Linked DNA regions of Macaca fascicularis. The protein of the gene in region 1 binds, or shares a complex with, the protein of each later gene. Links are inferred from orthologs where the notes say so. Each region holds a gene or a part of one and is shown in the gene's direction. Other genes may lie near its edges. The genes, in order: SMARCC1, PBRM1, DPF3, ARID1A, SMARCD1, PHF10 and ACTL6B.

Evidence for each region.
Region 2: SMARCC1 (region 1) and PBRM1 share a complex: the UniProt entries of both Homo sapiens proteins name them as parts of the SWI/SNF-B (PBAF) chromatin remodeling complex. The link is inferred for Macaca fascicularis from reciprocal best matches to the Homo sapiens genes SMARCC1 and PBRM1.
Region 3: SMARCC1 (region 1) and DPF3 share a complex: the UniProt entries of both Homo sapiens proteins name them as parts of the BAF complex. The link is inferred for Macaca fascicularis from reciprocal best matches to the Homo sapiens genes SMARCC1 and DPF3.
Region 4: SMARCC1 (region 1) and ARID1A share a complex: the UniProt entries of both Homo sapiens proteins name them as parts of the neuron-specific chromatin remodeling complex. The link is inferred for Macaca fascicularis from reciprocal best matches to the Homo sapiens genes SMARCC1 and ARID1A.
Region 5: SMARCC1 (region 1) and SMARCD1 share a complex: the UniProt entries of both Homo sapiens proteins name them as parts of the BAF complex. The link is inferred for Macaca fascicularis from reciprocal best matches to the Homo sapiens genes SMARCC1 and SMARCD1.
Region 6: SMARCC1 (region 1) and PHF10 share a complex: the UniProt entries of both Homo sapiens proteins name them as parts of the neural progenitors-specific chromatin remodeling complex. The link is inferred for Macaca fascicularis from reciprocal best matches to the Homo sapiens genes SMARCC1 and PHF10.
Region 7: SMARCC1 (region 1) and ACTL6B share a complex: the UniProt entries of both Homo sapiens proteins name them as parts of the BAF complex. The link is inferred for Macaca fascicularis from reciprocal best matches to the Homo sapiens genes SMARCC1 and ACTL6B.

The regions. Positions count from the first base shown.
Region 1 is NC_088376.1:110,609,231-110,612,730, reverse strand, and holds part of SMARCC1 (SWI/SNF complex subunit SMARCC1), read left to right. Parts: intron 1-109; coding exon 110-231; intron 232-1,685; coding exon 1,686-1,757; intron 1,758-3,500. UniProt on the Homo sapiens protein: Involved in transcriptional activation and repression of select genes by chromatin remodeling (alteration of DNA-nucleosome topology).
Region 2 is NC_088376.1:115,644,765-115,648,264, reverse strand, and holds part of PBRM1 (protein polybromo-1), read left to right. Parts: intron 1-894; exon of another isoform or gene 895-992; intron 993-2,023; coding exon 2,024-2,094; intron 2,095-2,204; coding exon 2,205-2,421; intron 2,422-3,500. UniProt on the Homo sapiens protein: Involved in transcriptional activation and repression of select genes by chromatin remodeling (alteration of DNA-nucleosome topology). Required for the stability of the SWI/SNF chromatin remodeling complex SWI/SNF-B (PBAF).
Region 3 is NC_088381.1:140,763,275-140,767,433, reverse strand, and holds the start of DPF3 (zinc finger protein DPF3), read left to right. Parts: upstream 1-1,359; 5' UTR 1,360-1,372; coding exon 1,373-1,404; intron 1,405-1,410; exon of another isoform or gene 1,411-1,584; coding exon of another isoform or gene 1,585-1,993; intron 1,994-2,043; coding exon of another isoform or gene 2,044-2,117; exon of another isoform or gene 2,118-2,242; intron 2,243-4,159. Other genes in the region: uncharacterized protein, read left to right, coding at 1,585-1,993, 2,044-2,117. UniProt on the Homo sapiens protein: Belongs to the neuron-specific chromatin remodeling complex (nBAF complex).
Region 4 is NC_088375.1:208,345,392-208,348,891, reverse strand, and holds part of ARID1A (AT-rich interactive domain-containing protein 1A), read left to right. Parts: intron 1-597; coding exon 598-765; intron 766-1,456; coding exon 1,457-1,769; intron 1,770-3,500. UniProt on the Homo sapiens protein: Involved in transcriptional activation and repression of select genes by chromatin remodeling (alteration of DNA-nucleosome topology).
Region 5 is NC_088385.1:56,929,158-56,932,095, forward strand, and holds the end of SMARCD1 (SWI/SNF-related matrix-associated actin-dependent regulator of chromatin subfamily D member 1), read left to right. Parts: intron 1-494; coding exon 495-596; intron 597-726; coding exon 727-780; 3' UTR 781-2,438; downstream 2,439-2,938. UniProt on the Homo sapiens protein: Involved in transcriptional activation and repression of select genes by chromatin remodeling (alteration of DNA-nucleosome topology).
Region 6 is NC_088378.1:1,322,202-1,325,701, forward strand, and holds part of PHF10 (PHD finger protein 10), read left to right. Parts: intron 1-1,248; coding exon 1,249-1,402; intron 1,403-3,439; coding exon 3,440-3,500. UniProt on the Homo sapiens protein: Involved in transcription activity regulation by chromatin remodeling. Belongs to the neural progenitors-specific chromatin remodeling complex (npBAF complex) and is required for the proliferation of neural progenitors.
Region 7 is NC_088377.1:49,244,255-49,248,304, reverse strand, and holds the start of ACTL6B (actin-like protein 6B), read left to right. Parts: upstream 1-1,250; 5' UTR 1,251-1,332; coding exon 1,333-1,357; intron 1,358-1,787; coding exon 1,788-1,864; intron 1,865-1,896; exon of another isoform or gene 1,897-2,079; coding exon 2,080-2,245; intron 2,246-2,545; coding exon 2,546-2,646; intron 2,647-4,050. UniProt on the Homo sapiens protein: Involved in transcriptional activation and repression of select genes by chromatin remodeling (alteration of DNA-nucleosome topology).

The DNA.
Region 1 (3,500 bases):
ATAGATACATATGTATCAATAGATAGATAGATAGATAGATGGATGGATGGATGGATGGATGGATATCTGTAGTTCTTTCTTTCTTTCCACTTTGTCTTCTTTTCTGTAGGAAGATGAAGATCCTGCCAAAGGTGATCAGAGTCGATCAATTGACCCTGGGGAAGATAATGTGACAGAGCAGACTAATCACATTATTATTCCTAGTTATGCATCATGGTTTGATTATAACTGGTGAGTGACCACTTCATCTGTGAGCATGGTACTGAGCAGTACAAGAACTTTCCTTCAAATCAGGTTGTGCCTTTCTGCCCATGTTCCTCGTCAGAAATTACTGTCACCTTTGACGAAGGGAGATGGAAAGTGATTTTTATCTTTGGAATGTGTTTATGGGTTTTTTTTGTTTGTTTTTTTGTTGAGACAGAGTCTTGCTCTGTCACCCTGGCTGGAGTGCAGTGGTGTGATCTCAGCTCACTGCAGCCTCTCCCTCCCGGGTTCACGGATGTCTTTACATCACATCACTGCACTCTAGCCAGGGTGACAGAGCAAGACTCTGTCTCAACAACAACAAAACAAACAAAAAAACACAAACACATTCCAAAGATAAACAGAATTTTTTTTAAAGTGGGCTCTTCCTCACCTGTAACAATGAAAACATTGGGAGTTATATTAGAATTATGTAATTAGTTCCTTACGGTTATTCTTTTAGAAGTCATTATGTATATTTATATAGCATTAATTCATCTTAGAAATTGTTTTTCTAGAAGTTTGCAGGTAATTCATTGTATTTATAGTATTTTACTGTGCAAATCCAATTTAATTTAAATGTTACCAAATACTCAAAGAGTGAATAATTTGAGTTATATTCCCAGACCATCGATTTGCTCTTTGCCATGCAACCAATACTTACATGTTGCATATCTGGAAAGCCACTGAGAAACTTAAAATGTCATCAGGAAGATGACACTTGTATTAGCAGCAGAAACTTTTTGCTAGATATACAGTTGGTTCATTTTTATACCGTTAGGCCTGATCATTTTACCTGATCTTTGCTTATGACCTGTAACATTTCATAAAATTATTAGCATTTGTATATATTGTTAAAATGTACTTCTATGATATTATTAAAAGCAATTGATACTGAAAATTTTAAAAAATTAATTTATCTCCCCAGCACCTCCACCAAAACTAAAAACTAAAAAGTAATTTATCACAGTGTTTCTGAGGGCTGGACAAAGGCTCATTTATGTTAACAGCCTGAGAAGCTGAGACTTGCAAATTTATTGTCTATTCTGGTCATTTGTTTCATCAGTTTGTTGCCATGCCATGCCAGCTACTTTGTTATTGTCAACATTTTTCAAAGAATTCTTCGTATCTTGTGGCTTCTTATCTAGTTATGATGTATTACGTCAAAAAATAATAAAATGTATAGTTTTCAGTGTGTCGATAGTAGTTTTTTAGTTTGGTTATGGGAATAGGAAAACTACAGTAAGTATTGGGAGTAAGAAAGAGAAGGCTTTCCTTAACTTTCTTGTATGCTGTTAATACATAGAAACTAGTGTAAGCCAATTAATTTTGGCAAGCGGTACTGAGGTTTTGGATTTATCACTTTTACTTAGAATATTTAATGATTTTATTCTTTTAAAAAGAAGGCTCCTAAACCTTTTTTTTTTTCTTCTTCTTTTCAGTATTCATGTGATTGAACGGCGTGCTCTTCCTGAGTTCTTCAATGGAAAAAACAAATCCAAGACTCCAGAAATGTGAGGCCAGTGTTTTAGAAAACTTGTTTATTTGCCTGTGTGTGGTAGGGCCTCTTCAAGCATCCACCTGAGTTTCTTATTGCTGATTCTTGGAAGTTTGCAAATACTCCTTTCAGAACAGTGTTCATATCTCATTTGTATAGCATTCCATGGTACAAAGGAAATTGTATCTAGTTTTGTTTTCTGTTTTTTGGGGGTTTTTCTTTCGTGTTTTTTTGAGACAGGGTCTCACTCTGTTGCCCAGGCTGGTGTGCGGTGTCATGATCTTGGCTCACAGCAATCTCTGCCTTCTGGACTGAAAGGATCCTCCCACCTCAGCCTCTTCAGTAGCTGGGAGAACAGGCACATGTCACCACACCTGGCTGATATCTATCTGTCTGTCTGTCTGTCTGTCTATCTATCTATCTATCTATCTATCTATTTTTTGGCAGAGATGGGGGTTTCACCATGTTGCCTAGGGTATTCTTTTATTTCTAAACCTTGAACTGTATGGACATCAGCTCTTGGAGTTTAAGTTTGGATTTTAAACCAATTTTTACTATAATGAATTCAGGCTTATCCTCACAACTTACCCTTTTTTTTTTTTTTTTTTTTTTATTGAGATGGAGTCTCACTCTGTCGCTCAGACTTGGGGTACAATGTTGCAATCTTGGCTTGCTTCAGCCACCACCTCCTGGGTTCAAGCTATTCTCCTGCCTCAGCCTCCCAAGTAGCTGGGACTACGGGCATGCACCACCACACCTGGCTAATTTTTGTATTTTTAGTAGAGATGGGGTTTCACCATGTTGGCCAGACTGGTCTCGAACTCCTGACCTCAAGTGATCCACTTGCCTCGGCCTCTCAAAGTGCTAGGATTATAGGCATGAGCCACCACGCCCGGTCTGTCCTAACAACTTTCAGCTTGTGTGTGCATGTATGTTATGGATTGTTTCTATTCATCCAGGAGAAAATGAATCTTTATCTTCCTGATGCATGAGTGCTAATTAAAAGAGAGACATGGTGATATAGCTACATGTGAATTAAGCTTAATTACATAAAGGATTTTTGTGCTTTTGCATTGGAAATAGAGAAACTCTTATTGGAAGGAAGAAGTTTGGCAGAAAGTACTTTTTGTCTTTCCCTGATGATTCATCAGTATATACTTCTGGAACACTTGTCCCTATATATAAGTACACACCTTTCAGTACTGTAGATACGCTCCCATGTATTAATCAGGGTATAATCTGTTGATTTTTTTTTTTTTTTTTTTTTTGTGGCGGGGGGACAAAGTCATTCCGTCACACGGGCTGGAGTGCAGTGGCATGATCTTGGCTGCCTGAGTTTTGTTTTTCTTGTGTGCCAAGAACTGTTGCTAGGTCTCAGAGTCCTTAACACTCTTGTTATTAAGTACTGTATTTTGTGACAGAAGTCATTGGAATCTGCTGTAACAGAATCTCAGTCTCTCTCTCCATTTTCGTATGTTCTTTTCTGGATTTGGTCTCATGGATTCTACTTATTGCCCAGCCATGATCTCCCTTAAAGAACTGCCACGAGAAGTTACATAGCTATTTTCAGAGCCAAATCCACGTGCCACATTTGAAATACAGAAGTGATAGGCAACAGAGGTTGAGAGCATAGATTGAAGAGCCACCACACTGGGTGCGATGAATTCTGGCTCCATCAATTACCAACCCTGTGGCTAGGACAAATTCTCTAACAACTCAGTGTTTGTTTCCTCACCCATAGATGGGATGATAGCAGACC
Region 2 (3,500 bases), about 5.0 Mb from region 1:
CGGCCGAGACGGGCGGATCACGAGGTCAGGAGATCGAGACTATCCTGGCTAACACCGTGAAACCCCATCTCTACTAAAAAATACAAAAAAAAAAAAAAAAAAAAACTAGCCGGGCGAGATGGCGGGCGCCTGTAGTCCCAGCTACTCGGGAGGCTGAGGCAGGAGAATGGCGTAAACCCGGGAGGCGGAGCTTGCAGTGAGCTGAGATCCAGCCACTGCACTCCAGCCTGGGCGGCAGAGCGAGACTCCGTCTCAAAAAAAAAAGAATTGAGGAGGCATGACCGGACACTTTTTGAGGCTGAAGTGGGAGGATTGCTTTGAGCTCAGGAGTTCAAGATCAGTGGGCAACATGGTGAAACCCCGTATCTATTTTACTTAAATGAAAAAAAAAGAAGCAAGGAGTCAGGGAAGTCCCCCTATTAGTGCCTACGAATGCACATGTCTGAGCAGGCTTAGAGGAGCAGGGGATTCATTGAGCTCTTCTGGTGACTCAGCTCACATTCTCACCAGCTGCCCCGGCATGGCATTTGTCAATAGAGGAAGCAGAAGAGTTTGCTGATTTGTTTGTGCTGCCCTGCAAAGCAGTGATTTACACAGTTTAGGGAGCCACACCGTGTTGTGGAGTCTAAGGTGGGTGAGTGTCCCGGGCACAGGAGGTGATGGACACAGAAGTTAATAATATATTGCTGGAGCACCAGCTTACCCACCACAACCTCTTCATTCATTCACGAATAATCATCAGGATCCTACTTTGGTGATCCGGGTGGACATCTGGGTACTTGGAATATAAAACTCTCTGCTTTTTAAACAGAAGCTTTTTGACTTGTTATTTTCTAACAAATAAGAGGCTCTCTTACGCTTCCTGGAAGTGGCATTTAACAATTCTGAACCTTGGTGCTCGCTTCAGCAGCACATACACTAAAATTGGAACAATATGGAGAAGAGCATGGGGCAAGGATGACATGCAAATTCATGAAACAGTTCTGAACTTTAGAATGAGGAGCTGCTCCTGCCTGGACAGAATATCACGATTTTTAATCCAAAGGGACTATACACTATGAAGTTACCTCCTCTCGATTGTTCTACACAGCATTTGTTTAAGTTTTCAAGAACAGTTCACCACAGTTTTAGGTTTATTTATTTGTTTTTAATGAACTGGCTCCCTTGCCTATTTCTGTATTTTATCAGAATAGCAGAATGCACCCTGAAATCAAAAGAGCCTCTGACTCTAAATTTAGGACATCTCATTATTATCAGCTGTGCCTGTGAGACAACAATTGCTCGTGAGCATTCACTGAGGGAAGCTTACAAAATTACTATCAGGGACATAGTACAAATCTAGTAAGGCCATGAAGTCTTTCTGTTCCTTTGTCATTTTGCATATAAAGTGATAGCAACAAGGTTACTTCACTTCAGATGATTCCTTTTCAGAGTGCTACTCTATCAGATGGAAATGTTCTCTCTCTGCCAGCACTAGTGACTCCAGTTAGAACCAGCTCCTAATGGTCTGGGAGGAGATTGCAAGGCTCTGCCTTCAACCTTCACAAAGCTCATTTAACTATACACTTCCACAGCCTCTTCCCTTGTGTCCCTACTGTCCTAGCACATTGCCTACTGCTGAGCCTGATTCCAGTGCCATTTCTGCTGAAATTAAATACAGGCTTCAGTTGCAGGAGAATGTGTTGTCAGAAGAAATGTAGAGGTATATTCTTGAATGTAGAGGTATATTCTGACAATAGCTTACCTAGAGAAATACTAGAATTTTATGCAAGGTTCAAATCATTTCTAAGCCATAATTGATATACATCTGACAGATTGTTCTAGTATTATACTTTAAGTACCTAGAAACAAAACAACTTTCTCTTCAAATCCTGTTGGGGTGCTTAGGATTCCTAGCTACAAAGATTCAAGGGCAGAGGTACATAAGTTTGAATTATGAATGGCATAATTTCTTATCAGACAGTAGTTTTTCAGTCATTTCAACCCAGAGCCTCTAATTGTGCCATTGCATTCTGAATTATAGGTGTGATGAACCAAGGAGTGGCCCCTATGGTAGGGACTCCAGCACCAGGTGGAAGTCCATATGGACAACAGGTGAGCTTCCCAGTTTGATTTTCTAGGACTTGACAGAATTCGAGTTATCCTCCTTCTCAGAACATGTGCAGTCTCTTTCTGCCTCACCATGTGGTCCTGTACTCTTTCAGGTGGGAGTTTTGGGGCCTCCAGGGCAGCAAGCACCACCTCCATATCCCGGCCCACATCCAGCTGGACCCCCTGTCATACAGCAGCCAACAACACCCATGTTTGTAGCTCCCCCACCAAAGACCCAGCGGCTTCTTCACTCAGAGGCCTACCTGAAATATATTGAAGGACTCAGTGCTGAGTCCAACAGCATTAGCAAGTGGGATCAGACACTGGCAGGTAAGGAGATTCCTTCTAAATAAACCTTTGTGAAATACATGTTTCCTCAAAGCTGTCTCACTGCTGTTAGCATATTATATCATACAATAAACACCCCTTTTTGTTATACAATTAAAATAAATTATATATTTCATAAATGGTTTGGAGTTTCTTTGCGTGTTGACATAACACACTGAAAATGGTTTGTTTTGTTTTTGAGACGGGGTCTCGCTCTGTTGCCCTGGCTGGAGTGCAGTAGCACGGTCTTGGCTCACTGCAATCTCCACCTCCCAGGTTCAAGTGATTCTCCTGCCTCAGCTTCCCCAGTAGCTGGGATTACAAGCACGTGCCACCTCACCTGACTAATTTTTATATTTTTAGTAGAGGTGAGGTTTCACCATATCGGCCATGCTGATCTCAAACTCTTGACCTCAAGTGATCCACCCACCTCAGCCTCTCAAAGTGCTGGGATTACAGGCGTGAGGCACTGTGCCTGTCCTGAAAATGGTTTTTGGAATTTTTTGTTTGTTTGTTTTTATTTTTGAGACAGTCTCACTCTGTCACCCAGGCTGGAGTACACTGCTACAATTTCGGCTCACTGCAACCTCCGACCCCCAGGTTCAAGCGATTCTTGTGCGTTAGCCTCCTGAGCAGCTGGAATTACAAGTGCTCACCACCACACCCAGCTAATTTTTTTATTTTTAGTAGAGATGGGGTTTCACCATTTTGGCCAGGCTGGTCTTGAACTCCTGACCTCAGGTGATCCACTCACCTCAGCCTCCCAATGAGCTGGGATTATAGGCGTGAGTCATGGCGCCCTGCCTAAAAATGGGTTTTTTTGGCCAAATTTCAAAGCCTAGTTTTCTCATAAACATCACTGCCATCTTTTTAAGTATATTCTCTCTTTTTTTTTTTTTTTCCAGGCGTTTGGACGTTAGTATAGATGCATTGAGTAAATTAAAAATGATTGGCCAGGCACAGTGGCTCCCACTTTGGGAGGCTGAAGTGGACAGATCGATTGAGTTCATGAGTTTGAGACTAGCCTGGGCAACATGGCAAGACCCCGTCTCTACAAAAAAATTAAAAATTAGCCAGATGAG
Region 3 (4,159 bases), on another chromosome or scaffold:
ACTCTTGAAATTCTGGAATGTTTATTTTATTTTATTCATTGTCTTGAGAGGAGCAAAAGGAAGCGAGAGGGCATAGCTTTGAACTGGCAATTTGGCAACTTCTCTCCCCTTGCCACCCCTCCCCCACTATCTTAGCTATTTGACCTGATTAAACAGCTTTGGAATGGTAGCCAGACTTCTGTATGCTAACGAGGCCCCTACCCTATTCTCGATTTAATGCGGTTTCATCCACGCAGAGCTTCCCGGTGCCCAGTGGAAGCCTGACTTCGCAGAAGTCTCCCAATTTTGTCAGGGGCTCGCCAGTGAAGAGTTCACACTGACTTGAAGCAGACACAGACTCTTTGGACGCCTCGGGTCACATCGGATTATTCACTAGCAAATTCTTTCCACCTTCTAAGTAGTGAAAGGTGACGTCAGAATCGCGTGTGCCACTCCTCTAAAGGGACTCTGACAACACCCAGTCCAGGCTCTACGACTTCTGCCTAGGCACTTGCTTCCTAGTAGTAGAAAGTTTCCAAAGGTTGCCTCAAGTCCTCCCTACCTCTAAGCCTAAAGGTCAGAGCTCCAGGTCGCACCACCGAGCAGGAATCTGAGCATTTTGGAAGTTTCTGGTGTAGGGAGCAGAACAGAAGGGGTGGTAGCGGCGGACCGCGCAGAGTAACCCCCCTGCACTACGTAAAGAAAGCCCTGGCTGCAGGAGGGAGTGAGCCTGACATTGAGGCATTCCAGGGGGAGGGTGAGTTGCTGTCCTGGAGTCGCCAGGAACAGCAGCGGCAGTTCCAAGAAGCGAGAGAGGAAGGTGGCGGAGATAAAGAGAACACTTCGGGAATAAGAATATTAAAAAGCAGCAGGACCCAGAGCATTAGCAAACGGCAAAGCACACGAAGTAATTTGTTACACGAAGCGGCAGCCTTCCAACTTTTGTACTGAAACACGGGGATTTACCCTTTGGGGGATTAAAAATGTTGATATGCAAAGCCAAAAGCTAATGAATAGGATTCAGTGGCTTGCTGGCAATATTGAAATATTTCTGTCCAGGAGCGCAAACTCTGCAGTTATTTAGAAAAGTAGGGAGTTGAACCAAACTATAATATTCTCCCGTGCGTCTCCACTTTCCCCAGCCCGAAAAGGAGCTGCCAACGCGGTACTTCCCCTTTAAGACCTGCTGGCTCTCGGGCTCTACAAAAGGGAGTGACCTCTGGGCTTTGACAGCTCCCCTAATAACTACCACCGAGCAGGCCCCGCCCACCTGGCGACCAGCCGCGCCGATTGGCCGGCGGGCCGGTATCCCGCGCTCTGATTGGCCTGTCGCTTCCCCTGAGCGAACCTTTAGAACTCTGAGACAGACAATATTCTGTTACATTGTAGCAAAATGGCGACTGTCATTCACAACCCCCTGAAAGCGTAAGTAAGACTAAAAAATGTACATATTCCGCGTGGTTTCAATATGAAAAAAAAGGCGCCTTCTGCGTGGCGAGCGCTGCCAGTGCTTGCGCTTGCAGGCGCCTCCAGCCGCGGCGGGGCTTCTCTCTTCTTTCAGCTCTTACTTCTTTTTTTTCCCCCAACGCGCAGAAATGTCAGGAGATGCAATTAACAAGAAGAAAATTGTTACATTTGTGTTCTGCTAAATTGCAGAGAGAGCGAGAGATAGGGGTTGCCGGCGGAGGAGCCCGGCGCTCGAGCGCTCTACAGCAGGGGGGTCGCGGGAGCTCGGGGACAGCGCGGTCCCTGGAGTCCCCCGCCTCGCGGGCAGGGAGCGAGGCTCCGGGGGCGGCCGGGCGGGGGGCGAGCGTCGGGCCGGGACTGCCTCGGTGCACTTGGCCGAGCCCTGCACCCCCAAGCCCGCGGCCCCCGCCCCGCCGCTGGGTCTGCTGGGTCCGGCGGACGCACCGCGGAGGCTCCGGAGTTTGCAGGGCGCTCTTCGCCTTCCGATCGCTCGCGGGGAGTTTGTGCAAACCTTCCGGAGTTGGGAGCACCGCGGGGGAAGCAGCGGGTCCCGGGCGCGCTGGGTCCCAGGTGGTCGCCCCGGGCTTTCCCCGGCAGCCCCCGGATCTCGGAGGCGCTCCGGGCGACCGCGCGTGTGTCTGCTCGTGTGTTTGCGAGCAACCTGGCTGTAGTGGATTAACGACTCGGGTTAACTTGGGGTGGATTTGGAGGCAGGGAAGCCGCAGGTCTTATGAATGGTGTTCTCGCCACCTCTGGGTGAGGCGCCGAGGCAGGCGGAGAGGCGGTTTTGGGGCTCCTGGCCCGAGGGGGCAGCGTCTGCTCCCGGCCGGGCGAGGGGCAGGTGCCTCTGGCCGCCCCGGGGAGACTTTGAGCGCTTGTCCAGATCCTGGACAGAGTGGGGCGGGCCGGACGAGCACTCGCGGGGGCCAGCCCCGGGTCCAACAGCCAATTTCTGCCTGCCTGCCTGCCTTCCTCCTCCTTTTCATCCTGGCTTCCTTCCTTCCTTCCTTCCAGTCGGTGGAACTGTTAAGCCGCCAAGTCCGCTCGCGATCGCGGAGCCAAGGGTGGCCTCGGAAAACTAGTGTCGCTCTGAAAGGGGTGCTATTGGGTGATGTCGGCAGAGGGTGGCTCCCTCCGTATTCGAGGTGGGCTGGGGGTCCGCACCCCTTCGACCGGGACTTCCCCGCCCGGACGAAGCCGCAGGCAAAGAGGGGGAGAGGGAGGTGCGGGCCGGGTAGGGGGCGGTTCGTGCCGAATTCTCCCTGGTGCGTGGCCACTGTCGACCCTGCTTCTTTTAATTCAGCGCATTCTCGTCTTCACCCCTCGCCACTCCTGGAGTTGAAAACCAGGTTCGCTCCCGGAGACGGTAGGGGGGTTCCTAACGCAAAGGAATGCACAGGGAGAATCAGACGTGTTTGCACCAGCTCGTCGCCCACCAGAAATAGGGAAACGGGTAGGAATGCCCCAGGTTTCAAAGATATTTATATGAAAGCTGCCGTTAAGAGGACGTTGGAAGCTGAGGCTGAGCAGATAGGAGCTCCCGGCTTCAGTTCTGCCTCGGAAGCTCGGATACACTGCACTTGAACGCCACAGCGTTTCATCCAAGAAAGAAAATGTTTTATGGCAGAATAAATGGGCGTAACTTCGCCGCATCCTCGCTGCCGGTTGCTTTCGCTGCAACACCGCTGATGCTGTCTCTACCGAACCCACAACTGATTTGCAGTTTCCCCATATCCAGCCGAAATCACATAACCAGGCTGATGCCACCTGGTAAACTCAAGTTAGAGAATCTATTTCACATGTGCACCAGGTTTGTTTCCTACTGGGAAAGCCGTACCCTAGTTACCCGGGAGCCCGCTTTCGCGCGGGCGGGCGCAGTATCTCTAAGCTTCAGTGTTCCCCTGCTCGCTCCAGGGTTTTTTTGGATCACAGTAGGGTGCGCGTTTGGGGAGGGAGTCTGTGTAGGGTGGGGTTAAGGGTGGGGGAAGGGACAGACGGGGGGGAAAGAAGGTGGCGGAATCCCGGCTGGTTAGGGGAATTAGTTCTGAATTGTACTTTGTATAATTAGAAACAGTTGCAATGTGATGTATTTGTAATTGTGCCGCCACACGCATGCACACACTAGCATACACACAACGCCCCTGCTTGCTTTTTCTAGGTGGGAGTTGAGTGGTCATTTATAATTAGCCATTCCTTTCTGCTTCCCAGACCCTTTCCCTGGGGGTAAAGGGGTGTAAACAATACCCCTGACCAGCCCAGCCTCTCACACCCTGGACAGTTTTTAACTCCTAATGCAGGAGCACACACGTTGTTATTGGGAGACGGACACCATCTGCCTTTTTTTTTTTTTTTAAACAACTTGTTTAATAAAACATCTTATATATTTCATTTGTTTTTAAAAGTTGCTGATCAGGAAACAATACAAACGTGAATAAATTATGCATGGGATAAATTAGAACAAAGTGCAGAGACACATCCAGCCGAAGGGATGGTGGTGGTGCAGGGAGGAGGGGTAGCGGAGAGAATGGTTTGGAGAGCTATGTTTTTATCCTCATGTGTCCCTCCTGACAATGAAACAGAGCTGAATGACATTAGCATTTTCTCTGTGTGCGTTCTGAGTCTCTCTCTTCCCTCCAAAAAAAAAAAAAAAAAAAAAAAAAAAAAAAAAAAAGCCAACACCACGGACGCCCCCTACAGAAAATGGTCACACAAA
Region 4 (3,500 bases), on another chromosome or scaffold:
TTGACCATGAAGCTTAGGACAATCCCTGCAGCAAATTGTTTTTATATTCTTTAAAAGTTGACATGATAATTGTACTTATTTATGGGGAACATAGTGATGTTTCAATAGATATAACGTATAGTGATCAGATCAGGGTAATTAGCAGATATATAATCTCAAACACTTACTACTTCTTTGTGCTGAGACCCAGCAGCAAATTGTGAAGTTAGAGTGGGCTTGGCCATGTTAGTGTCTCCATTTCTCAGTACTTATCTCTGTTTTGATGGTTGCCCTCTTACATTTTGCCTCATGTGGTCGGCAGTTGCTGAAGACTCAACATTTGGTCTTTACTCATTAAGTCATTCATTTTGGTTTTTGTCATTCCTTTTTGTCTTTTCAAACCTCCATTTAGCAGAAACAGTTGGCATGCCCTGGTTAATGGCTTATGTCACTCTGAAGGTGCCTAAAATGACACACCACTATATAGAAAATCAGATAGAGACTCCATGCAAGTAGCTGCTAAAGAAAATGTAGATGGTAAAGTCCCAGGATAAGGAGGGAGAGCATTTGTTCGCATTGTATAAAGCTAATAACTATATGGATACTACCCACAAATAGGTTATATGCAGAGGAACCCCCAGATGCCCCAGTACAGTTCCCCCCAGCCCGGCTCAGCCTTATCTCCGCGTCAGCCTTCCGGAGGACAGATACACACAGGCATGGGCTCCTACCAGCAGAACTCCATGGGGAGCTATGGTCCCCAGGGGGGTCAGTATGGCCCACAAGGTCAGTATACTACCCAGTTAGGAGTAGATAGGGGTGAGAGGAGAAAACAGTTCCTTGTCTGATATGTTGCCATCTAGCTTGTAACCTTGTGAGAGAAGGGCTGTCCTTTGCCTTAAATCCACCCAGGCCAGGCCCTTGAAGAAGGGCAAGGAAAGATTCCATTTGTCTCCACTTACTCCGTCACCATGAGAAAGTCTTTCAATTTCACTGAGCCTCTGTTTCATTTGTAAAAATGGAGATAAGGTGTTTACTCCACCATTGAGCACAGACAATTAATACATGGTAGCTATTGGTTATTACTTTTTTAAAATTATTTTTAGTGAATAAGTCATAATGGAATAGATCTTTGCTCAAAATTACAGCCCTAGGCAGATCAAAAGTTGAGTATCTTACACAGAGCATGGAGATAGAAAGGAAGTTATCTTCTTCTGGAAGTTGAAGTGCCTGTGTGGCAGCAAAGCCAGCCTTGCTCTGTGCTGCCTTTAAGATGGAGGGGATAACTGACCTGCCTTTACATGCTTCTGGCACCCCCCCACTTTTTCTCATGGAGATAAAGGCTACCATGAAGTTGGTCTCTTTCCTAACCAAAATATTGAATGACATTGTTTGGTGTTCTAGAGTTGAGAGATATTAGTGAGTTGCTAGTGTGAGTCACTAACCAAGTCTCTGTCTTCTCTTCCTCCCCTCTCAGGTGGCTACCCCAGGCAGCCAAACTATAATGCCTTGCCCAATGCCAACTACCCCAGTGCAGGCATGGCTGGAGGCATAAACCCCATGGGTGCCGGAGGTCAGATGCATGGACAGCCTGGCATCCCACCTTACGGCACACTCCCTCCAGGGAGGATGAGTCACGCCTCCATGGGCAACCGGCCTTATGGCCCTAACATGGCCAATATGCCACCTCAGGTTGGGTCAGGGATGTGTCCCCCACCAGGGGGCATGAACCGGAAAACCCAAGAAACTGCTGTCGCCATGCATGTTGCTGCCAACTCTATCCAAAACAGGTAAGGCCTGGGAAGTGGAGAGGGTATCAGTTCTAGAAAATGTATTGTAGACCCACTCAGATTATTGAGATGCTTCTGGACCTAAATCGGGGGGGAAAATGGGTGTGTGTATGAAGTGTTAATTCTTACATGTCTTAGATGGGTCTGAAATTTCACATGACTAAACATCATATGTAAAGAACTTTATAAAAAACAGGGTTGGCCGGGCGCGGTGGCTCAAGCCTGTAATCCCAGCACTTTGGGAGGCCGAGACGGGCGGATCACTAGGTCAGGAGATCGAGACCATCCTGGCTAACAGGGTGAAACCCCGTCTCTACTAAAAAATACAAAAAGCTAGCCGGGCGAGGTGGCGGGCGCCTGTAGTCCCAGCTACTCGGGAGGCTGAGGCAGGAGAATGGCGTAAACCCGGGAGGCGGAGCTTGCAGTGAGCTGAGATCCGGCCACTGCACTCCAGCCCGGGGACAGAATGAGACTCCGTCTCAAAAAAAAAAAAAACAGGGTTTTGGCTGGGCGTGGTTGAGTGGGACTACAGACACACACCACCACACACGGCTAATTTATTTTTTATTTATTTATTTTTTTTTATTTATTTACTTATTTTGAGACAGAGTCTCACTCCATTGCCCAAGCTGGAGTGCAGTAATGTACTTTCAGCTCACTGCAACCTCTGCTTCCCAGGTTCAAGCGATTCTCCTGCCTCAGCCTCCCGAGTAGCTGGGATTACAGGCACCCGCCACCATGCCCTGTTAATTTCTATATTTTTAGTAGATACTGGGTTTCACCATGTTAGCCAGGCTGGTCTCGAACTCCTGACCTCAAGCGAGCTGCCTGCCTTGGCCTCCCAAAGTGCTAGGCATGATCCACCATGCCTAGACTTTTTTTTTTTTTTTTTTTTTTTTAAATAGATACGGAGTCTCACTATGTTGCCAGGGCTAAAGACAGCTTATTTTGATTTGCAAAATAAGTGTTCAGAGTAGGTGGTTTAACTTCTATCAGTCAACATTTTGGTTTCCAAAAGGATTCTTAATGATACATATGTCTTGGATCTTTGGTGTTAGAAATAGCAAATGGTAAGCTTGTGGTTTGCCATTTCTCTTACTGTTTTATGTGGTCCTGTGTGTTGACTCTGGTGCTAGAGTGCAGAAGGCTCACGTGATTAGGTTTAACGACTTCTTTGGCCACTAAATCTTATTGAGTTGTTGATGAACCAAGGTAAAATAGGGTGATTGACTATAAAGAGCTGGATTTGGTAGAACTTCAGAAAGATGGAAGTGCAAAGTTTGCATTAGCCCATCAAGAAATAATGCAAAGCCACCTCTGGGTGATATGCTGAGGGTTCCAGTCTGGAATTTAGCATGACAAAAAGTGGTACAGTTCAGCATTTCATCTATGTCTTTTGCCACAGACAGGGCCCTTAAATGGAAATACAACTTGACTTTGGAGGTGGCTTTGAGGGAGGCAGTACTTAAAAGACACAGCAGGGCTCTGCTTCAAAGAATTGTACCCTTTGAAATTCAGCTATTGTGGCTGGGTGCGGTGGCTCACTCCTGTTATCCTAGCACTTTGGGATACCGAGGCAGGTGGATGACCTGAGGTCAGGAGTTCAAGACCAGCCTGCCCAGCATGGCGAAACCCCATCTCTACTAAAAATACAAAAAATTAGCCAGGCATGGTGGTGGGCACCTGTAATCCCAGCTACTTGGGAGGCTGAGGCAGGAGAATCGCTTGAAC
Region 5 (2,938 bases), on another chromosome or scaffold:
TCAGTTTGCTGAGGCTGCTGTAGCAAACTACCACAAACTACCACAAACTGGGCAGTTTTAAACAACAGGTTTGTCTCACAGTTGTGGAGGCTGGAAGTCCAAAATTAGTGTGGGCAGTGCTGCTTCCTTCCGTGAGCTGGGAGGGAGACTCTGTTCTGTGCATCGCTCAGCTTCTGGTACCGCAGGTGTTCCTTGGCTTGTAGGTGGTGGTCTCTGTGTGACTTAACGTCATCTTCCTTCTGTACGTGTCTGTCTCCGTGTCCAAATTTCCCCTCTTTATAAGGGAACCTACCAGTCATATTAGGGGGTACCCTAGTGACCTCATCTTAACTTGATCATCTGCAGAGACCCTATTTCCAAATAAGGTCATTCACAGGTACTAGGGGGTTAGACTTCAACATTTTGGGGGAGGATACAATTTATGCAATAATGGGTGTGAAGGAAGGAAACAAGCCTTTTCTCCTCTCTCTTCCCTCTCCCTGCATCTCCCTCAGACAATGACTGATGTGGTGGGTAACCCAGAGGAGGAGCGCCGAGCTGAGTTCTACTTCCAGCCCTGGGCTCAGGAGGCTGTGTGCCGATACTTCTACTCCAAGGTAAGTACATGGTGTGCATGGGGAAATTGATAAAAGGCACAGGGTTTTTACCCCTGATAGGGGTCAGTGGTGTTAGACACAAACTTCTGGTTTGTCTCATCTTCTACTCCCGTCACTATTTTCTCCTTAGGTGCAGCAGAGACGACAAGAATTAGAGCAAGCCCTGGGAATCCGGAATACATAGGGCGTCTCCCACAGCCCTGATTCGGCTGCACCAATTTTCGATTTGGGCCCTGTGCTGCCTGCCTCATAGCACCTGCCTTGGTCTTGCTTGGGGCGTTCCAGGGGATGCTGTTGGTTCAAGGACAACACCAGAATGAAGAGGGTCTCACATTTCTGTCTCATAAGACACCTGTTACCCTCTTCTTTCACCCCATCCCTTCCCACCCCCAGCTTCCCTTTGACCCACAAAGTTCCCATGTGCCTCTACCCTCCCCTGGTCTACATAGGACCTCTAGATAGTGTTAGAGAGAGAACCTGTAGTGGTAATGAGTGCTTGGAATGGATTGGGCCTAAGGCCAGGTGGTCTTCAAGGGGACCAGCTACACTGATCCTGCCCTTCAGAGACCCAGGAGTTGGGAGCTTTAGCTCCTTCTCCAAGACTCAGGCCTGGGGGCACTCTATAAGCTAGTTGATCTTGGCTCTCCTGATAACAGAATCCAATTTCCTTCCTTCCCTCCACAGGTTTGGAACAAACTCTCCCTTCACTTGTTGCCCCATAGCACTAAAGAAACCCTGGTTCTTGGGCTCCACTGAGCCCCAGGTCAGTCCCCAGCCCTCTGGATTGGCCTGCTCTCTCAGTGCTTCTCTCACTCCTTAGTGGGGGTCCACATCAGTATTGGAGTTTGTTCTTTAACTGTTGCTCTCTCCCAGACACTCCCTGTGGCTGCCCTTTGTAATTCCCTCAGATCTGCCCTAACCCCGGGCATTTGGGTGGGGAAATCTTGCCTTTCCCTTTCAGAGCCCCAGGGATCTCATCTGGGGAACTGTCATTGCCAGCAGAGGCTGTTCCTTCCTGCTGCTGTTTGGAGATGTCATTCATTCACTCCACCCTGCCTCCCCATCCCTTAATGGAGAAACAGGCCTAAAACCAAACGGGTAAAAAGCCCTGGGCCATCCCTGTCTTCCTGTCCCTTGTCTGCCCAGTTGACACCTACTGGTGACTTCTAGGGCACTGAGGAGTGAAAGCGCCTAGGGCTGGAGAATAGCGCTGAGTTGGGTTTGTGACTCTTCCCTCTCCCTGCCTCACAGGATTGTGACTCCCCAGCCCCTGCCCTCAAAGCTTCAGACCCCTCAGGTAGCAGCAGGACCTTGTGATCTTGGCCCCTTGGAACTGAGATGGTTTTTGCATCTTTCCAGGAGGGCCTCACATTCTTCTTCCAGGTTGTATTACCCCCGAGTTAGCGTATCCCAGGCTCGCAGACTCAACACAGCAAGGGTGGGAGACAGCTGGGCACAGAGGGGGAATTCCGTTCAGCATGGGCTCTAAACCCACAGAACTGACAAAGCCCCTGCTTCCCCACCCCCTCCTCAGGCTCCTGCGAGCACACCCCCACCCTCAAATCCCTGCCTGTTCTATACTGGGGACAGCAGAGTTTTCTCCCAATCTTCCCCTTCCTGCCACTTTCCCTCCCTTGAAAGGTTGACACTGGACAACCTTGGGGCAGCTGAGCCCTGGCCCGCCTCCTGGCTGGAACCATGAGAAGGAAGCTCAGTACTTCCATAGTGTCCCTGTTGATAACTGTTTTTATTAACTGAATTATGTTTTTTTCATGGACCAAAATTTTTTTTGTACTGTCCCCTTATTGATGTTACCCAGTTTTAATAAAAGAATCTTCTGAAGGATGGGTCCTCTTACCTACTGTGAGAGAGCTCTTCCCTGAGCTCTTCTTCCTTCAATACCATTAGCCATGCTCGTAGTGTTTGTTCATTTTATTTGACAAGTATTTATTGAGCACCTGCTGTGTGCTAGTTGTGATGCTAGACACTGGAGATAAAGTGGAAAATGAGATTTCTACTTTTGTGGACCTCAGGGTCTTACCTTAAGAGATTGGTGTCTGCCCCAGTGGTCCAAGCAGGCTAGTTGCTGGTTGGGATTATTGGGTTTCACCACTGGATCTTAAGAGCCCTTTCCCGACTTTCCTTGTTACAGGTCAGTGGCAGTCATCTTCCTCCTTGTCCATCTGAGCTCCCCAGAGCACCTGTTGGCTGGAGTGAGCCATAGATGCCCATGATCCCCTTTCGTTTGACAAACCTAAGCCTTTGGAGGAGTTTCACTTCTTCCCCCAGGGCTTCTGTCTAGATGTGGGCAGGAACTGGACAACCAAAGACATTTTTGCTTT
Region 6 (3,500 bases), on another chromosome or scaffold:
TTTTGTTTTAAAGTCTCAGCTTTTACTTCAACCTTAAGCCTTACTCTGGAACCGTATGTTTTTCATAATAGACTATTTTTTTAGAGAATAGAATTTAAAGTATAGTATCATAACTCACACCATTTGAAAGTCACATCTTGGGCAGAAATTTTTTAAATTAAAAAGGTTTTTTAATTCAAATTTAAATCATGGGCAGCAGTTTTTTTAAAAGTTTTTCTTCAATTTTTTTTTTTTTTTTGAGATGGAGTCTCATGCTGTCACCCAGGCTGGAGTTCAGTGGCACGATCTCGGCTCACTGCAACCTCCACCTCCCGGGTTCAAGTGATTCTCCTGCTTCAACCGCCCAAGTAGCTGGGATTATAGGTACTTACCACCTCGCCCGGCTAATTTTTTGTATTTTTAGTAGAGACAGATTTTCACTCTGTTGGCCAGCTGGTCTCGAACTCCTGACCTCTGGTGATCTGCCCACCTTGACCTCCCGCAGTGCTGAGATTACAGGCGTGAGCCACTGCACTCGGCCTTAAATTTTTAAAAATTTTACTCTGGTGTCAGCAAATTATTAAAAGTCATATGCAAGTATACCAACTCCTTTGCTTTTTGGTGTGTTGTCTTAGTTGGAGAAGTCCTGATCCAGGGTCGCTTCCTGAATGAGGACTACTGAGGGTGAGAATGGAGGTGGCACAAAGCATTGCTGTCTGACCTAGGGGAAGAGATTGCCAATCTAGTTTCAGAAAAAATAGTTGATTAGATTTTTTAGAATACATGCTTCCCAAATTTGTTTACAATAATTTGTTACTAAAAATTTTGCTTTCTATATTAATATTAAGTAATATCATGTACCATGCACTGGTGTATGAGGTAGATGCTATTATTAGGCCTGTTTTACAAGTGGAGTGATAGCACAGAGAAGTAGCAAAGACCTGGAACAGTGGTGGACGTGGATGTGAGCTGGCAGTCAGACTTGGGGCTACTGACATTTTATTTACTGTTTTGTTTTTTTGGGTTGAGGGCAAAGAGGAGAGGCGCATTATCTTTTAGAATCAAATGCATATTTTACATAAGTCTAGTGAAAAGATGTTCAGGCTTTTTATTAACCCTACTTGATGACAAAAATTAAAAATTAATACTCTATTTTTCGGAAGTCTTTGGAGTTACTCAAGAAGTTTAAGGCTCTCTTCATAGGTCAACGATGAGTCTATTTATATTTAATAATAAAGGGAAACCAAAAATAAACGCTCTGAACTTCAGGTACTCACCAGATGAGCTGCGGTATCTGCCATTAAACACAGCCCTATATGAGCCCCCTCTGGATCCTGAGCTCCCTGCTCTAGACAGTGACGGTGATTCAGATGATGGCGAAGATGGTCGAGGTGACGAGAAACGGAAAAATAAAGGCACTTCGGTGAGAACATTTCTCTCTAGTGGGAAGCGTTTCCTTTCTCTTTGAATTTTTGCTAATTGCTTTCCTGGAATGTTACATTGAACTTCTGTCATCACCCTCTCTTTGAAAAAGGATGGTTGCATGTAATTTCCAGAAGGTATTCATCAAGAAAAGTTATTTATAGTATGTTTTGATAAAAAACAAGCCGTGTGTGGCCTTTGGTAAGATTTATACTTAAAATCGCCCCTTTGTAGTTACCATGAGCGATTTAGGCAAGGATATTGGAAAATTAGCTTACAGTCATTTATTCAACTTGTTGTCTCTTTAGCTTAAAATATTGAACAAAACAGAATTTGATCTCTTGACACAGAAATGTAGTTTTCTTAGTTTAGGGGAGTGCATTAACTTAGGTTTCTTTTGCTTAATCTTAGGCTTCCTATAGGAAAATATTGTGTTTAGTAATATGTTTTGCAATTTGTTGGGTTTTCCTGTATGACTCTTTTTTTGTAGCAAAATGCGCTTGCAAAACAATGGGCAGCTGGTGAATTCTGTGGATCTGAAGGAGAACAGAATCCCCTTGATGGTTTAGGGCTTTGATCACAGTGATGACATAGGGCTTTGAATTTCTTTAGCATTGTGTTTTAAGTAACTGGCTATTTCAGACTTTTCATTGAAGCCAATCTAAATGTGAGGTTGTGCTACCATTGAATGGACATTATTTCCTTGTCCCCAGCAGCTTCTAAAACATCTTTAATAATACATATTATGCAAAATAAGATGCTGTTCAAGTATTAAAGTGGTGATACAACTTTTCTCCTGTTATGTTGCTAAAAGGGGAGCTATGGCATGCAAAGGGGGATGAAGCTGACTTCCTTTCATACTGCTAGGAAAAGTGGAAACTAATCCAACATTATGGGAAAGCGTTTTGACAGTCTTACCAATTTAAGTTCCACAGAATTTGACCTCGCAAATCCACTAGTAGAATTTATCCTAAGGATTTAATCAGATGCTGAAAAAAATTTAATTAGAATAAAAAGGTCTGTTTGAGTGTTTACAGTATTTTTTATCCTGGAAGTTACAAATAAATTTTAATGCCCACAGTGGGTAATATTATATTACATTTATAGGATAGAAATGCAGTTCAAAGAATATTTAATGATTGTGAGAACATGCACATAATGCTTTTAAAAAAATACCAAAACACACACATGCATACATACGCAGTGTAATCCAGTTTTGTGTTTTAAAAAATGAGGGCACAATGAGGTTAGGGGGTATGTGTGAGTCTCGGTATCTTTATGTATATAAGTGGACACCCAGAAAAAAGATGAAGTGGATATATTCATGTTTCTAGTCAGTGTGTGTTTATCAGGGAGGCTCTAGATAATCTAATTTTTTCATTTATAATTTTCATAATTTATATGAAAGTTCTAATTAGAAAATTTAAAATTATAAAATGAAGAATTAAATCATTAGATATTGAGGTCTTAAACCTTGAGTATATGCAATCTTTCACATCCTGTTGTAGATAGTTGAGGGATTGGCTCTGCATGGTTTAACATTATGAAAACACAAATGTGTACTCGAAGGAATTTTTTTTTTTTTTTTTTTTTAACTGCAGCACTTCATTTTTCCTGAAGGACCTTCTTAATGACTTTTAGTACTCAGTGAAAATACCCACACTTATTTGTAACAATATATTTTTGTGTGAAACAAATATGTTCCCTTGTGACATGGAAAATGATGTTGAAGCTGTGTGCCGTATAATAGTAGCTGAAGCGGATAATTGCATTTTTGTGACTTAGGTCAGAAAACAAAGTTGATGAAGGCACTGATATGAATGCAATCAGTTTTATACCATATCATACTTAGAAGAAAGATGAATGATTTTTAACATAAGTTACTTTAGTCTCCACTGGAAAAAACTTTCTTACATTTAGAATGATCTTTTTATTTTTAAATTGATAAGGCTTTAAAACTTTTTTTGAGTATTTTCCATAGTTTTCAAAATCCAGACTCAATTCCAAAGAATCTTTGTTTTTGCCTTTTAAACTCCAGGACAGCTCCTCTGGCAATGTATCTGAAGGAGAAAGCGCTCCTGACAGCCAGGAGGACTCTT
Region 7 (4,050 bases), on another chromosome or scaffold:
ACCAGACTGGGCAACATAGTGAGGGCCCTTCTCTAAAACAAGCAAACAAACAAAAAAAACCAGGTGTGGTGGTGTGCACCTGTAAGTCCCAGCTACTCAGAAGGCTGAGGCGAGAGGATCACTTGAACCCAGGAGTTCAAAGTTACGGTGACCTGTGAGCGTGCCACTGCACTCTAACCTGGGTGACGGAAGACCCCAATTCAAAAATAAAAGAAACAAAAACCCTCTTGTTGATAAATGCCTCCTTAGGAAAATAGGCGCTGAAGAGAGAGAGAGATGGAGAAAAGAAGCTAAAGCCAGGTGGGCTGTGTGTGAACGTATGTATATGTGCGTAAGCATGTGTACACATGTATAACGCCCAGGTACTGGGGTGGTGGGGGTAGGGGTGGAGCAAAGCAAGGAAAAGAGGGGCCAGCGAAAGACAAAGGAGGGAAGTTGGACACGGTGGCTCATGCTTTTAATCCCAGCACTTTGGGACATTGAGGCCAGGAGTTCAAGACCAGCCAGTCTCTAAAAAAAAAACAACAAACAAAGAAAAAAACAGAGAGAGATGGAGACACACCCCCACCCCCTCTGGTCCCTCTCTTAATCTTCCCTTCCCTCCCTCTCCCGGCAATTCCATTTAGGCCTGGGTGTGGCAGAACCGGGCTCAGAGCAGCCTGAAGACAGATGACCCTTCTGGGGAGTGGAGCTCTCTCCCCAGTCTTGCTTTAAAAAGTAAGGGGGTAGAGGTCGGGCATAGCACTTTGAGAGGCTGAGGTGGGAGGATCGCTTGAGGCCAGGAGTTCAAGATCAACCTGAGCAAGACCCTGTCTCCATAAAAAAAATTTTTTTAATTTGCCAGGTGTGCTGGCACCTGCCTGTAATCCCTGCTATCTGGGAGGCTGAGGAGGATCGCTTGAGCTCTGGAGTTCGAGACCAGCCTGGGCAACGTAAGAAGACCTCCGTTTCCACCAAAAAATTTAATAAAAACAAAAAGCAAGGGGGTAGGGACCTCATCAGTCGTCCTGCAGAGTCTTGGTCTCCGCCTCTGCCCTGCTCTCCTCTCTGCCGCCCGTTCCTTAGCGACGGTCTCTAAGTCCCTGCTAGGCGCCCCCTGCCCCATCTCCTCCTGGTCGCCTAACGGAGGGTATCTTCCCCTTTAAATCCGCGGCCCCCGGTCCGGTCATTGTCTCGCCTGGCAGCCAATCGGCGGCGCCGTTGGGGGCGGGGGATCCGGCCTCCCAATTGGTCGCCGCGCGCCCCGCCCCGCCAGGGATCCCGGGAGCTGTCCGGCCGCCTCGGTGCTGATCCCGCCGCCGCCCACGGGCCGCTAGCAGCGCAGAGGGCACTATGAGCGGGGGCGTCTACGGCGGAGGTGAGCGAGCCTCCGGCCCCCTGCGTTCCGAACCCGCGCCATCCATCCGAGCTCTGGGCACCCCGGGGCCTGTCACCTCCGCGCATGAACTGGTCCAGTCTCAGGCTCGGGTTCCCGCCTCCCCTGCGCTCCGTTCTCGTGCGCACCGGGCCGAACCTCTCTACCTTACAACCCACCTCCACCTGGCCCCGGCCCCTTCCTTTCCCGTCGGGAGGGTGGCCTGAGCAAGGCCAGTGGGCAAGAAGGGACCCTGGCGGTATGATGCCCCCACCCCCAGTCCCAGGACCTCAGACTCCAGGCCCAGTTCCCACCGGCTCCAGACTGGTGTTGAAGGTGGCGAGTCTGTGGCTCTGCCCTGACTTTCTCTCGGAACTACCTAGCGGGAAAAACTTCGGGGGAGGTCCCCTTACAGGCCTGTCTCCCCTCACAGATGAGGTGGGGGCGCTGGTCTTTGACATTGGCTCCTTCTCAGTCCGCGCTGGGTACGCTGGGGAGGACTGTCCCAAGGTGAGCCTTCCAGTCTCCTCTCTAAATCCTAGGGGCTCCGGACCCTTCTTCAGGCTTTCCAGTGACCCAGGGCTCTCCCAGATCGCCCAGAAGCTCTGCTGAGCGGGAATGTGGGAATAAACCCAGGGGCGGGCTGAGGACCCTGCCGTGGGGCTGGACAGGGGCAAGAGGGTGACCCCTCTCCTGCCGATCCTCCCCCAACCCTTCCCCACCAGGCTGATTTCCCCACCACGGTGGGGCTGCTGGCCGCGGAGGAGGGGGGCGGGCTGGAGCTGGAGGGGGACAAAGAGAAGAAAGGGAAGATCTTCCACATCGACACCAATGCCCTGCACGTGCCTCGGGATGGAGCGGAGGTCATGTCGCCCCTCAAGAATGGCATGAGTAAGGGGCCCCCACCCATCACCTCCTGACAGATAGGGAGCCCACTCCCCACGCTGGGACATAGCAGCCCCCACTCCCCAAGGAGTCTTCCTTGCAGCCCCAGGGTTCTTCTCGCTGCCAGGGTTCTTCTCGCTGGGTTCCCTTCCCAGGGGCCCAGCAGGTTTCTGGGAAGGGGGGATGTTCCCCTGGGCCTGGACTCACTGACCCTCCTTTGGGCTTGGCCTTTCTCCCTCCTTTTCTTCCTGTCCCTGACCCCTGCCTGCCCTCTTGCCTTTCTCCACTCTGTTCTTCTGGCCCCAGTCGAGGACTGGGAGTGCTTCCGAGCCATCCTGGATCATACCTACAGCAAACACGTCAAGTCTGAGCCAAACTTGCACCCCGTGCTCATGTCCGAGGCCCCGGTGAGTGCCTCCTGCCTTCCCATGTCCAACCCCAATCTCCACTGCACCTGCTTCCCACCATCCACCTCTCCTCCTCTCCCCTCAAGCCACCGATGTCAGCCACTTCCCTTCCCTTTTCAGACTCCCCTCACCCATCCCAACCACTTTCCTTCCTTCCTAAGTCTCCATCCCTCCTGCTCTCTTCTTGTTCTATCTACTCTGCTGCCCTTCTCCATCTCCAAGTCCTTTTTAAATTTTTTTTTTTTTTGACACAGAGTCTCACTCTGTCACCCAGGCTGGAGTGCAATGGTGAGATCTCAGCCTCTGCCTCCCGAGTTCAAGGGATTCTCCTGCCTCAGCCTCCCGAGTAGCTAGGATTACAGGCACCTGCCATCATGCCTGGCTAACTTTTTGTATTTTTAGTAGAAATGGGGTTTTGCCATGTTGGCCAGGCTGGTCTCGAACTCCTGACCTCAGGTGATCCACCCGCCTTGGTCTCCCAAAGTGTTGGGATTACAGGCATGAGCCACCATGCCCAGCCTCCAAGTACTTTTTAGACCTTTTAACTTATTATTATTTTGGTCAACATTGGTGAGCTGGGGATGTGGGCTCACACCTGTAATCCCAGCACTTTGGGAAGCCAAGGCGAGAGGATCACTTGAGCCCAGGAGTTCGAGACCACCCTGGGCAATATGGCAAGACCCATCTCTTTTATCAAAACAATAACAATTAAAAAAATTTTTAAACTGCATTTTTAAAAATGTTCTTACCCATATCCTTATAGATTCCTCTTTATAGAAGCAACTGTTTTTCTCCTTTTTAGCTAATTTTGGGGGTATTTTCTTCCATATCTCTAATATTACACTTAAATTGCTGCCTGTGGAGTTTTTAGTTTTAGATATTATCAATGAATTTTCCACTCTAGAAAATGATCACTTAGCTCTTTTTTCCTCCCCAGCCTATGCCACAACATATTTCTATTACCCTCCTTTAAGTACAGTGGGTTTTGTTGTTGTTGTTTTTGTTGTTGTTGTTTGTTATTTGTTTTTGAGATTTTGTCTCAAAAACAGGGGCTCCGCTCAGTTTATCACCCAAGTTGGATTGCAGTGGCACAATTCTGCAGCCTTGGTCTCCTGGGCTCAAGTGATCCTCTCATTTCAGCCTCCGGAGTAGCTGGAACTACAGGCATGAGCCACCACGCCCAGCTGATTTTTAAATTTTTTGTAGAGACAGGGTTTCACCATGTTTTCCAGGCTGGTCTTGAATTCCTGGGCTCAAGCGATCCGCCCACGTCGTCCACCCAAAATGCTGGGATTACAGGTGGGATCCACTGCACCCAGCCCAGTTGTGTTTTAGACTTTGAAAGAAATCAATATTCAGTATTTACACTCTTTTTAAGTTAGAAATAATTTTAAGAGAATCTTT